Linked DNA regions of Callithrix jacchus. The protein of the gene in region 3 purifies or fractionates together with the protein of the main gene of each other region. This does not show direct contact. Links are inferred from orthologs where the notes say so. Each region holds a gene or a part of one and is shown on either strand. Other genes may lie near its edges.

Region 1 (3,608 bases), on a different chromosome or scaffold from region 3:
CGTGTTTGGCCTAGGGGTGCTGTACACTGTCTGGGTTTGATTCAGAACCAGCATACCCTTCAGGGAGCGCTATGAGGAAGCACCCGCAGGGAGCACCAGGTCACCTCCCCGGCCACCCCAGTCAGCCCCAGTCAGCCCCAGTCAGCCCGGCCAACTCACAATTGAGACTTGTTGCTGTTGGGTCCTGAGTTGGCCATGCTGAGGATGCCACGGCCCGTGTGCGAGAGGTTGGGCCGGAACTCATCTTTGAAGGGCTTCCCCCAGTACGACTCCCCGCCTGGAAGAGAAAGACCCACAGGAACAGGAAGGCCTGGGCCCCAGCCAAGGCAGAACCAGAAACCTCAGAGTCCCAAGGGGCATCAGGGCCTTGCTGAGCCCAACCTGGGGCATAGGCACTTGATAAGGTGGTCCCCAGCCCCACATCACCAACTCCTGGGCCCCTTGGAGCCCCCATGCCTCCACACAGGCAGGCTGCTGCCCACTCACCCCAGGTGAGTGGGTCCTGCCCCAGGACAGGGATTAAAGGGTCAAGGCCACCATCCTCATCACTCGAGCTATGGGAGTACGGAGATGGGAGGGCCTGGGCCCAAGCAGCTGCAGGCTGAGGAGCTTCAAGAGGCTGCAGGTGGAAGGCCTGGCCTCCAGGGGCCCAGAGAGGATGCCACACATGCCTGCATCCTCTACTATGCAGGCCTCACAGCCACCCGGAAATGAGAAAGCCAAGAGCCAGTCCTGAGAGGGCACAACACTGATGGCTGCCAGTCGTTCCACCCTGGTCTAGCGGATTCCACAGCCCAGCTACCCCCTCATGCCCCAAGGAGCAGCCAACGTGCCCAAAGAGGGGCCCAGCACCAGTACCTACCTGTGCCTGTGCCTGTGGGGTCACCCCCTTGGATCTGTGAGAACAAAAACCAATGTGCAAGTCACACCTCGAGACCTAAGCCCACCACCTGCCCAACCAAAGGAGATCCCTCCTGCCAGATGGCTCCTCACAGGGCCTGGGCTCCTGACAAGGACGAGGGGCCCTCCCAGCCACCTCCCTGTATGAACCCAGTTCTGGATGGGCTGGAGTCTGGAGAGACAGCCTGTGCATTCCCCAACAGAGGATCACCGACTGACCACACTGTGGTCTCAGGGCCCTGGGTCAGGGCAGGGACAAGCCTACCCAGACCCTGATGTCCCACCAAGCACATCTGTGCAGCCAGTGACTCGCGTCACTCACCACGAAGTTCCGGATGGATCTGTGGAAGATGGTGCCATCGTAATAATGCTTTTTGCAAAGCCTGATGAAGTTTTCGCAGGTTTTTGGTGTCTGCAACATAGTCCCGATGCATGTATGAAGCAGAGAGCGGCCAAAGGCAGCTCACCACAGCCACAGGAGGCCCTTTTTTTTTTTTTTTGAGAGGGAGTCTTGCTTTGTCACCAGGCTGGAGTGCAGTAGTGTGATCTCGGCTCACTGCAACTTCTACCTCCCAGGTTCATGTGATTCTCCTGCCTCAGCCTCCCACTCTAGCCAGGACTACAGGCTTGCGCCACCAGGCCTAGTTAATTTTTGCATTTTTAGTAGACAGGCTTTTACCATGTTGGCCAGACTAGTCTCGAACTCCTAAGCTCAAGTGATCCACATACGTTGACCTCCTAAAGTGCTGGGATTACAGGCATGAGCCACCGTGCCCAGCCAGGACGCCTTTAACATCCAGCAGTCAGCTGCCCAGCCACACCGGGCAAGGATGGACCCACAACACCAAGCAGCAGAACCTGCGCAGCCGCATGGCCCAGAGCAGAGCGCACGGGAGAAGTGCAGGCAGAGCAGCGGGTGTGGCCTGGTCCCTTCTCTGGGACACTGGCACCTGTGCACAGGGCAACACAGCCCCCTAGGAAGGACACAGGGCACCGCTGTGGGTCCCGCCTAGTGACAGGCTGAGTTTTTTTTACAAGCACATACCAGTGGCAGCCCTATATTGAAGACATGGCTGTCAAATGACCCCAGAAATGACCTCGGGACACGGGGAGGGAGCGGGCCACCACACCCACCAGGTCACAGTGCAGCTCCAGGTTGAGATCGCCCCTGTTGGTGTGCAACCGCACATAGCCCTTCTTCCTCACAAACTGGTAGCGGAGCACGTCCTCGTCAATGGCAGCTACAAGCAGAGGTCCCAGCTCAGCCCCTGCCCTCGCCCTGGGGGCGCCCCACGGTGCCAGGTAACACGGGCCAAAGACACAGAGGCATCTGGCCAAGGACTAGGTTCCAGCTCTGGAAAGAGCACGGGAGCCAGAGGCCAAAGTCTTCTGCTCGGGCCATGCACAGGCTCACCCCAGCCTCATGGGCCTGACAGGGGCTCAGCAGCTAAGAGGGGGAGGACTGGAGACTCAGGTGTCCATGGGAGCCCCTGACAGGCCAAAAGAGTGGGAATCAGGGGAGGGCACCCACCCCCTGCCACTGTCAGGTCACATGGCAGGTGTCTGCAGAGGCAAAGGTGGTTACCTGCTTCGTGTGTGGTCTCTGGAACCATTGCAGTGGAGGTAAAGGAAGCGCTGACCTTCCCTGTGGAATAGTGGGCCTGCCAAGGAAACCAGGGTGGCACCTCAGCAGTGCCATGGGAGGCTGATGGGCAAAAATGTGGTGCCTGCCTAGAAGCCAACCACACCCCACCCCTGACCCCCAGGCCCTGCTCAGTGCTTCTCCTCCAGCAGGGCCTCCCTGACTGGCGGGAGGAAGGAGGACAGGCCGAGCCAGGGGCCCCTGGCCTCAACCGGGTCCCGACTCAGGACGTTAAGTAAAACCCTGTAGATAAAATACCACACAGGACCTCAGGGTTAGGAGTGTATGAGTGAGTTCTCATTTCTTTTTTTTATGAGATAATGTCTTGCTGTGTACCCAGGCTGTAGTGCTGGGGTGTGATCCTGGCGCACTGCAGCCTCCAAATCCTGGGCTCAAGTGACCCCCCCCCTACACCTCAGCCTCCTGAGTAACTGGGACGACAGGTGTGTGCCACCATGCCTGGCTGATTTTTGGGGGTTTTTTGTAGAGGTAAGGTCTCACTATGTTGTCCAAGCTAGTCTCGAACTCCTGGCCTCAAGCAATCCTCCTGCATCAGCCTCCCAAAATACTGGGATTGCAGGCCTGAGCCACCATGCCTGGACTCACTTCTTTACTTATTTATTAACTTATTAATTTTTGAGACGGAGTTTCACTCTTGTTGCCCAGGCTAGAGTGCAATGGTGCCATCTCTGCTCACAGCAACCTCTGCCTCCCAGGTTTAAGCGACTCTCCTGCCTCAGCCTCCAGAGTAGCTGGGATTACAGACATGTGCCACCACGCCCTGCTAATTTTGTATTTTCCGTAGGGACAGGGTTTCTCCATGTTGGTCAGGCTGGTCTTAAAACTCCCAACCTCAGGTGACCCACCCACCTCGGCCTCCCAAAGTGCTAGGATTACAAGCATGAGCTTGTACCCGGCCTGGCCTAACTTCTTTTTAAAAGTCTCAAACTTTCTGAAGTAAACACATTACATATTTAATCAGGGGTGGGGGGGTAAAGTCCCAATAAATGTTGTTTTTTTATCACAGAGGAAGAAAAAGGGGTTTCTTTCATCAGAAGAAAATATA
Region 2 (3,608 bases), on a different chromosome or scaffold from region 3:
AAAGTAATTGAAAACAGGGATTTAAACATATACTTATATGTGGATATTCACACAGGCATTATTTACAATAGTCAAAAGATGAAAACAATGTGCAAGTATCAATCAATAAATGAGTAAACAAGATATTTATTCCAAATATAACAGAATTATTATTCAGCGATAAAAAGGTATGCAGCACTGATAAATGGTAATGGATGAACCTTGAAACCATTATGTTATGCAAAATAAGACATGAAAAAGGATAACTATTGTATGATTCCACTTATTTGGAAAATCTAGGATAGGCCAATTCATAGACACAAAGATTAGAGGTTATCAGAAGCTAAGGGGAGATGAAAATGGGGAGTTATTGTTTAATAGGTACCTCTAATAATAAGAGGTTTTGGGCTGGGCACCGTGGCTAATGCCTGTAATCCCAGCACTTTGGGAGGCCAAGGAAGCAGATCACAAGTCAGGAGTTTGAGACCAGCCTGACAAACATGGTGAAACCCCGTCTCTACTAAAAAGACAAAAATTAGCCAGGCATGGTGGTGTATGCCTGTAATCCCACCTACTCAGGAGGCTGAGGCAGGAGAATCGCTTGAACCTGGGAGGTAGAGGCTGCAGTGAGCTGAGATCGTGCCATTGCACTCCAGCCTGGGTAACAGAGTGAGACTCCATCTCAAAGAATAAAATAAGAGGCTTTGTTTAGGGTGATTAAAAAATTTCAAACAGTGATAGTGTGAACATAATTAATGCTAACAAACTGTACACTTTAAAACTTAAAAAGCGGGGAGGAAGAGACAATAGCAACAAAAATTTCTGAAGTTAGAAAACAAATAGATGAGCCCTAAATGATAAAGCAGTCCCAAGAAAGCTGAATCTTAAGCTGGTAAAAGCCAAGAAGCAACTCAGTTTGCACTCCAAAATCTCAGAGAAACAGGTGCAGGTAATCCTGGAGATAGTAAGTTTGGCTGAAAGCCTGTATAAGAAAGTGGTTAATCCTTGGGCTCCTCTCCCTGACTCTGCAGCTGGGGGCCACCCTCCTCCACCTGGTAGCCAGCTGGGGGTCTAGTCTTTGGTAGGTTAAAGCAGGGGCTCTTTGCACTAGGATATCCTACATGTAGTGAGGGCTGAGGTATATAACGACAAGTGGAGATTACATGAAAGTTGATATACCGAATGTTGTGGCATTCAGCCCTGCCCTCATCTCTGCCTAACAAGATGCAGACACCTGGATGCAAAGGCCCCAGCAGGATAATCTGGGAGAAAATCAGGATTGATTACATCGAAAACTGCACAAACAAGGCAATTATCAATTCCAGGCAAAACAAAATGCTGTGCATGAAAGGAAGTTATCACATGGTGTCTACATTGTTAAAATAATTTAGGACCTAACAAAAATTATAGTACCTATACAAGGAAGATGAGGGGCCAGAGAAGGGGAATTTTAAAAACTAATTCCTCGTCCTCTGAAGTAGAAAATCAGAAGATAATGCTTAAAACGGAAAACAGCAAGTAGAAATATAAACCTGTTATCTATCAACACGGAAATAAAAATCAAAAGACCTAAGAGTTGAAATCGGCTCCTCGGAGGAACAGCAAATGGCGCTGGCAGCAGGGCATAGGGACACACCAGGGGACGACTGTTTTTCCAAAACAAGCTTTGTGAAGTTGAATTGACTCTTTATATGTCTAGATAATAATAAAATTTAGATTAAAAAGAGAATAAATAGAGTCAATATTTAATAAGTTACAAAGAATACTCAGTAAAAGCACTAGCTACTTCTAGAATTTAGGACTGGATGTTGAGGGGGAAAAACAACTTAAGTTTTCAGTTTATTGTCTTAATTATTATTGGAATATATGTGTATGGTATTCTTTTTTTTAAAAAAGAATATAATATTTACTTGTATTTTTAAAAAATGATTATTAAAAGGTAGTAAGTCAGCACTTATAAAGCTTCAAAAACACCTGTTCTGACTCATCTGTTACTAGATCCCAGGATCTGAGATGCTTCAAATCAACTTAGGTCAGAAGCAATATTGAGGGCACAAGAAGTAAAGTGGCAAGCACCTGGGAAAGGCTCACTGCTCAGCCACCAGCGTCCCGCTCACCTGCTGTCATGGGCACAACGTCGGAACGCAGGAGCATCTGGATGCGGCCGGCCGGCTTGTTCCCAATCTTAATGTCCATGTACACCTGAGGATTTGACCGGGCCTTTTTAGCAGCAGGCTCTCCCTAGGTGCAGAAGAAATTGCTAGTTAGAGAGAGCTCCCTGATGCCCCAAGTAGGAGCTTAGTATTCTATACACCCACCCAGAACACAGCTCCAATGAGCAGGCTGGAGCAAGTGCTGACAGGGAAGGCCTTGGCCTTGACAGGGCTGCAGGAGGCAGGAGCCACAGCCGTAGCGCCCAGCTGGATGCCCAGCAACAGGAGACCTCAGTACTGGCTAACCTGAGCCCCATACACAGGCATGTTATCTCATCAGGCTTGCCCTCAGAAGCATCGGTTTCCTCCTCTTGCTTTACAGTCACAGAACAGTGCTTTTCTGGCCTATGATACACAACTGTCAACATCTTCAAATGGCAGTTCCAGCCCACACACTGTCCTCTAGTTAGGCAGACCATGTCCCACCACCTCCTCCCTCTATGCTTGGCCCTGCACATATGCTGGCTGGCTACACGGAAGCAAGGGGGCAGCCCTCTTGCTCAGATCTAAGTGCTCAGAAGACAGTGGAGGATGCTGGGCCTTGCTTTGTGCTCCAAGTAGATAAGACTAAGCAGCGGATACAGGGTGATCCAGGGGGACTCGAGTGCGATGGCCACGTTATGAGTTCTGCTTTCCATCCAAATTTTTGGCTTGGGCCAATGTGTGGATGAATGGTAGCAAATTAGCCAAGACTGAGATCACAGAAGACAGGATTAGAGAAGGAGGGGATCCATTTTAGGCAAACTTAGGCTGCCTATGAGACTTGCAGGCAGAAATATCTGAAGCTCAGGACTAGAAACAGAACATGAAGGTCAACAGCATAAGAGAGGCTGCATAAAATTACAGACTGACTGCTACTGTTTCAGCTGAGAGAAAAGAGCGAAACCATGAGCCAACAAAGAAATACAGAAGAATGACAACACTCACAAGGTACCCGGAGGAGGGGAAGTCCAAGAAGCAACTGTCAGAGACCTATGCTGAGAATCAGGGGGAAGTGCCCTGGCAGGTTCTCTTAGGACTAGAGCACTGTGAACCCATGTACAGGGTGAAGGAAGGTGGCACTACCCTATCCTTTCACCCCTGCATTAGCACAGGAATAAGAAGACCATGAACCTCGTGCCAAACTCCTCAGTGAAGGAGGGGGACTGATCAGAAAGGATGAAGAGGGGCACCTCAGCTTTCTCCCCATCAGCTGATAATCACAAATCCATACATGAGCAGAGCTGAGATGTTCATCACAGAGAACACAATGTGGATGAGAGACCCAAAGCTTTGCCCTTGCATTCACTCAATACTGACTTTACCAAAGTCCTAAGAATTCATTATTCATTCCCTCCACTTTGGTATGTGTATTTGCAAATTTCCATTAAACTTAAAAAAGGCCGGGCGCGGTGGCTCACGCCTGTAATCCCAGCA
Region 3 (3,743 bases):
TATCTCCATTGTCATCATCTCTACCCTGGATGACATCCAGATATCTCCAAACTTGAATATACCCTCCTATATCCTCCACACATTTTTCTTTCTAAAAGGCAATGTGATTCAGTCAGTTCCCTGATCAAAAGTCCTCCAATGATTTTTATGTTTTCCAACATTTTCAAGTTAAAATCCAAACATAGCAATGGCATACTTGACCTTTCCCAATCTGGTTTATGTCTGTCTTCCCTGCCTCATCTGCTTTCTTACGAGCAAATCTTCTAGTTCCCTTAATACACCGTGTTTTGTTTTGTTACTGTTGGATTTGCATCCTTGGTCTCTCTTATTCCTGAAATTACCCTCTGCCCAGAAGGCCTTTACTCCCTCTTCCAACTAGTGAACTCTTATTCTTCTTTCAAGACTCTGATAAAACATTGTTAGTTAAGAAGCTTTTCCTTCTGCCATCAGTAATTAGTCCCTTTCCTCAGCATAATCATATGCATCTGTATGTAATTAGCACATCCGACTCTACATCTCTACCACACCTTTTTTAGGACAGAAACTGTATCTTGATCATTTCTGCGTCCCAGTAGCTAGTACCTAAGTGACTTCTTCTACCATTAATATTAATTTATTTTGTTCATTACTATGACAGTGTGTCTCTCCACTTATACCCTTTTGCCCTCACTGGTTTCTTTTCCTCACTCTTGTCTAGAGAAAATGGTGCTTAATATATATTGAAAAGATAAATAGATATGAAGAACCATAGGCACGGGAACTTGGATTTGATCCCATGCCACCTTCCTGGCTCTAAACCCTGTGCCCTCTCCACTGCAATACATTACCATACAAAAAAACAAAAATAACTACCTGTTGAATGTATGGGCTAAGGGCATGCAGTTTTAAAGAGCAGAGGAGTTAAATGCTTTATATTTTCAATGAGACACTAAATTAACTGACTTTCTAACTGCATGTGAACCTTGAGGAAAAGTGGGGGGTCAGGGGGTGTCATAGCTTCACCCCTTGGACCTTCTATTAAGGGAGGCTTTATTCCTCCACCCGCACCAGATGAGAGATACCCTCAGGTCAGGGATGAGAATGAGGGAAACCAAGCTCGCAAGAACATCCACATCGCTCCGTGGACGCCTGCCTCAGAGGGCGCCAGGACACCCAACAAGCCCCCAGCCGCCTAACGGCCGCTCCAACCGCCGTCTCACATTTTCATGGTGCCTTTAGGACCCAAGTTGGTCCTCAGCACATGCTGCAGCCCTCGGGCGGCGCATATATTGACGGCCAAGGCAGCCTGTGCCCGCGCCACCTCAGCCTTGGAGTTTACGGCCTTTATCGCAGCCATAGCCTAATCGCTCAGGGCGAAAACAACACACGCACACGCACACGCACACACATGACTTAGTGGCGATTCTAAGCAAAAACCCGAACGCCACGCCACGCCACGCCACGCTCACTTGAGCCTCGGCCAATCACCGCCCTTAAAAAAAAAGTGACGTTATCATACCTCGCCGGACGGAAGCCGGACTCGCTTTGGGTCTGGTCGCCAAGATGGCGTTCTCCGCCTCCGCTGGGACTCCGGCTGGGAAGCGAGTGGTAAATCAGGAAGAACTGCGGCGGTTAATGAAGGAGAAGCAGCGTCTGAGCACTAATCGGAAACGGATAGAATCTCCGTTCGCTAAGTACAACCGTTTGGGACAGCTGAGTTGTGTCCTGTGTAACACGCCTGTTAAGAGTGAGCTTCTGTGGCAGACTCACGTCCTGGGAAAGCAGCACCGAGAGAAAGTGGCCGAGCTGAAAGGCGCGAAGGAAACCAGCCAGGGTCCGTCAGCCAGCTCAGCGCCTCAGTCCGTCAAGAGGAAAGCGCCAGACGCAGACGGCCAAGATGCCAAGAGAACGAAGGCCACCTTGGTGCCTCAGGTACAGCCCTCCACATCTGCGTTGCCCACCAACTTTGACAAAATAGGAAAGGAGTCCATTAGAGCGACTCCCAGTAAGCCTTCAGGACTCAGTTTACTCCCCGATTATGAAGATGAGGAGGAGGAGGAAGAGGAAGAAGGAGGTGGAGAAAGAAAAAGCGGGGACGCCAGCAAGTTGCTGTCCGACGCACAGGGCAAGGAACACTCAGTTTCCTCTTCGCGGGAGGTAACAAGTAGTGTGCTGCCGGACGATTTCTTTAATAATAATCCTCCCAAGGCCCCCATAATTCCTCATTCAGGGTCAATTGAGAAAGCAGAAATCCATGAAAAGGTGGTGGAAAGGAGAGAAAACACCGCGGAAGCGTTACCGGAAGGTTTTTTTGACGACCCTGAGGTAGATGCAAGAGTACGAAAGGTTGATGCCCCTAAAGATCAGATGGACAAAGAGTGGGACGAATTTCAAAAAGCCATGAGGCAGGTCAACACTATTTCCGAAGCCATAGTTGCCGAAGAGGATGAGGAGGGACGGCTGGACCGTCAGATTGGGGAGATCGATGAGCAGATAGAGTGTTACCGACGGGTGGAAAAGCTACGGAATCGCCAGGATGAAATAAAAAATAAACTTAAAGAAATCCTGACCATAAAAGAATTGCAGAAAAAGGAAGAAGAGAATGCTGACAGCGATGATGAGGGGGAACTACAGGACTTGTTGTCTCAGGATTGGAGGGTGAAAGGGGCATTGTTATAAAGTTTTAAAGACCTAAGGTTTCTAACAGCCTCTGCTATTGTATAAAAAGTGCTGTCTCAATAGCTTATCGGTTACACGCCTAGAGATTTGGGCACCTGGATCGCTAACTGTATTGTTGAGATAAAATGAGCTACAGCACTTTGGTAAATTTGTATACAATGTTTTTGAAGTAAAGTTTTTGAAATTTCTTAAGTGTTATATACCAAAATGCCAACTTTTCCACAATAGGCCTAACAGTATCATTTTGTTGTAAAATCTGTAAATTGTAAATATTGTACGTAGTTAAATCTATATTAAGTAATTCCGTTTTGAATTTTTTTAATTAATAGAAGTCAGATTAACCGGCAGACTTTTAGATGAATGCTTAATGTGGTATTTGAGATGTATCTTCTTCTGAACCCTAAATCAAGTTGAAAAGTTTGGTTTTCTTGTTTCTTTGGTTTTTGTTTGTTTTTTTTAGAACACTTCATAAATACATAAGTCATTGTAGGTTAATCAATTCTCTTAGTATGCTGGGTTTTTTTTTTAAACATCGAGAAAAATATATGCCAAACATGATCAGCCTCCCTAAACCAAAGTTTCTCTTGACTAGACCCGTGATGGTCAGATGTGGTTGCACGGAGAATCACCTATGAGGCATTAAAATAAATTCAAGAGCTTGAGGCCTTCCCCTTCAAAAAATCAGAGATGGGGCCCAGGCAACTGTTTTTTAAAGCTCCCAGGTTATTCTAATATATGCCAAAGTTGGAGGGTGCCCTAAATCCAGAACCCATTTATATTTTTCAGGTTTTTATTTAACACATTCCATAAATTTGCTGTTTCTTGAATGAAGGAAATATTATCTTTTATTTATTTCATCCAGTCTTAAATTTCATTATCTTTAGTAGATTAGGGTCTTTATTTGCAGGTCCTATCTGTTGTAGAAAGAATATGTAAGTTGTGTTTCCAGCAGTAACAATTGGCTCTTGCTGGTCATTGATAGTTTAAAGGACTCCTTCCTTTAGAGATTGAGGTATTGAAATAAGAAAAGGGAATTTACGGTTCCTGGAGTAAAAATGCATACAGCATATCCAAATAAAAGTGAG

Evidence for each region.
Region 1: the proteins of ZNF830 (region 3) and PPIL2 purify together in Homo sapiens (co-immunoprecipitation; 4 studies listed by BioGRID and IntAct, counting the BioPlex papers as one, with this or other methods). This does not show direct contact. The link is inferred for Callithrix jacchus from reciprocal best matches to the Homo sapiens genes ZNF830 and PPIL2.
Region 2: the proteins of ZNF830 (region 3) and PPIE purify together in Homo sapiens (affinity purification with mass spectrometry; 3 studies listed by BioGRID and IntAct, counting the BioPlex papers as one, with this or other methods). This does not show direct contact. The link is inferred for Callithrix jacchus from reciprocal best matches to the Homo sapiens genes ZNF830 and PPIE.

Annotation. Positions count from the first base shown.
Region 1 is NC_133502.1:193,655,657-193,659,264, reverse strand, and holds part of PPIL2 (RING-type E3 ubiquitin-protein ligase PPIL2), read right to left. Parts: intron 2,562-3,608; coding exon 2,486-2,561; intron 2,142-2,485; coding exon 2,035-2,141; intron 1,313-2,034; coding exon 1,223-1,312; intron 897-1,222; coding exon 863-896; intron 278-862; coding exon 160-277; intron 1-159. UniProt on the Homo sapiens protein: Has a ubiquitin-protein ligase activity acting as an E3 ubiquitin protein ligase or as an ubiquitin-ubiquitin ligase promoting elongation of ubiquitin chains on substrates.
Region 2 is NC_133508.1:76,298,923-76,302,530, reverse strand, and holds part of PPIE (peptidyl-prolyl cis-trans isomerase E), read right to left. Parts: intron 2,221-3,608; coding exon 2,097-2,220; intron 1-2,096. UniProt on the Homo sapiens protein: Involved in pre-mRNA splicing as component of the spliceosome. Combines RNA-binding and PPIase activities.
Region 3 is NC_133506.1:99,202,426-99,206,168, reverse strand, and holds ZNF830 (zinc finger protein 830), read left to right. Parts: upstream 1-1,515; 5' UTR 1,516-1,542; coding exon 1,543-2,658; 3' UTR 2,659-3,157; downstream 3,158-3,743.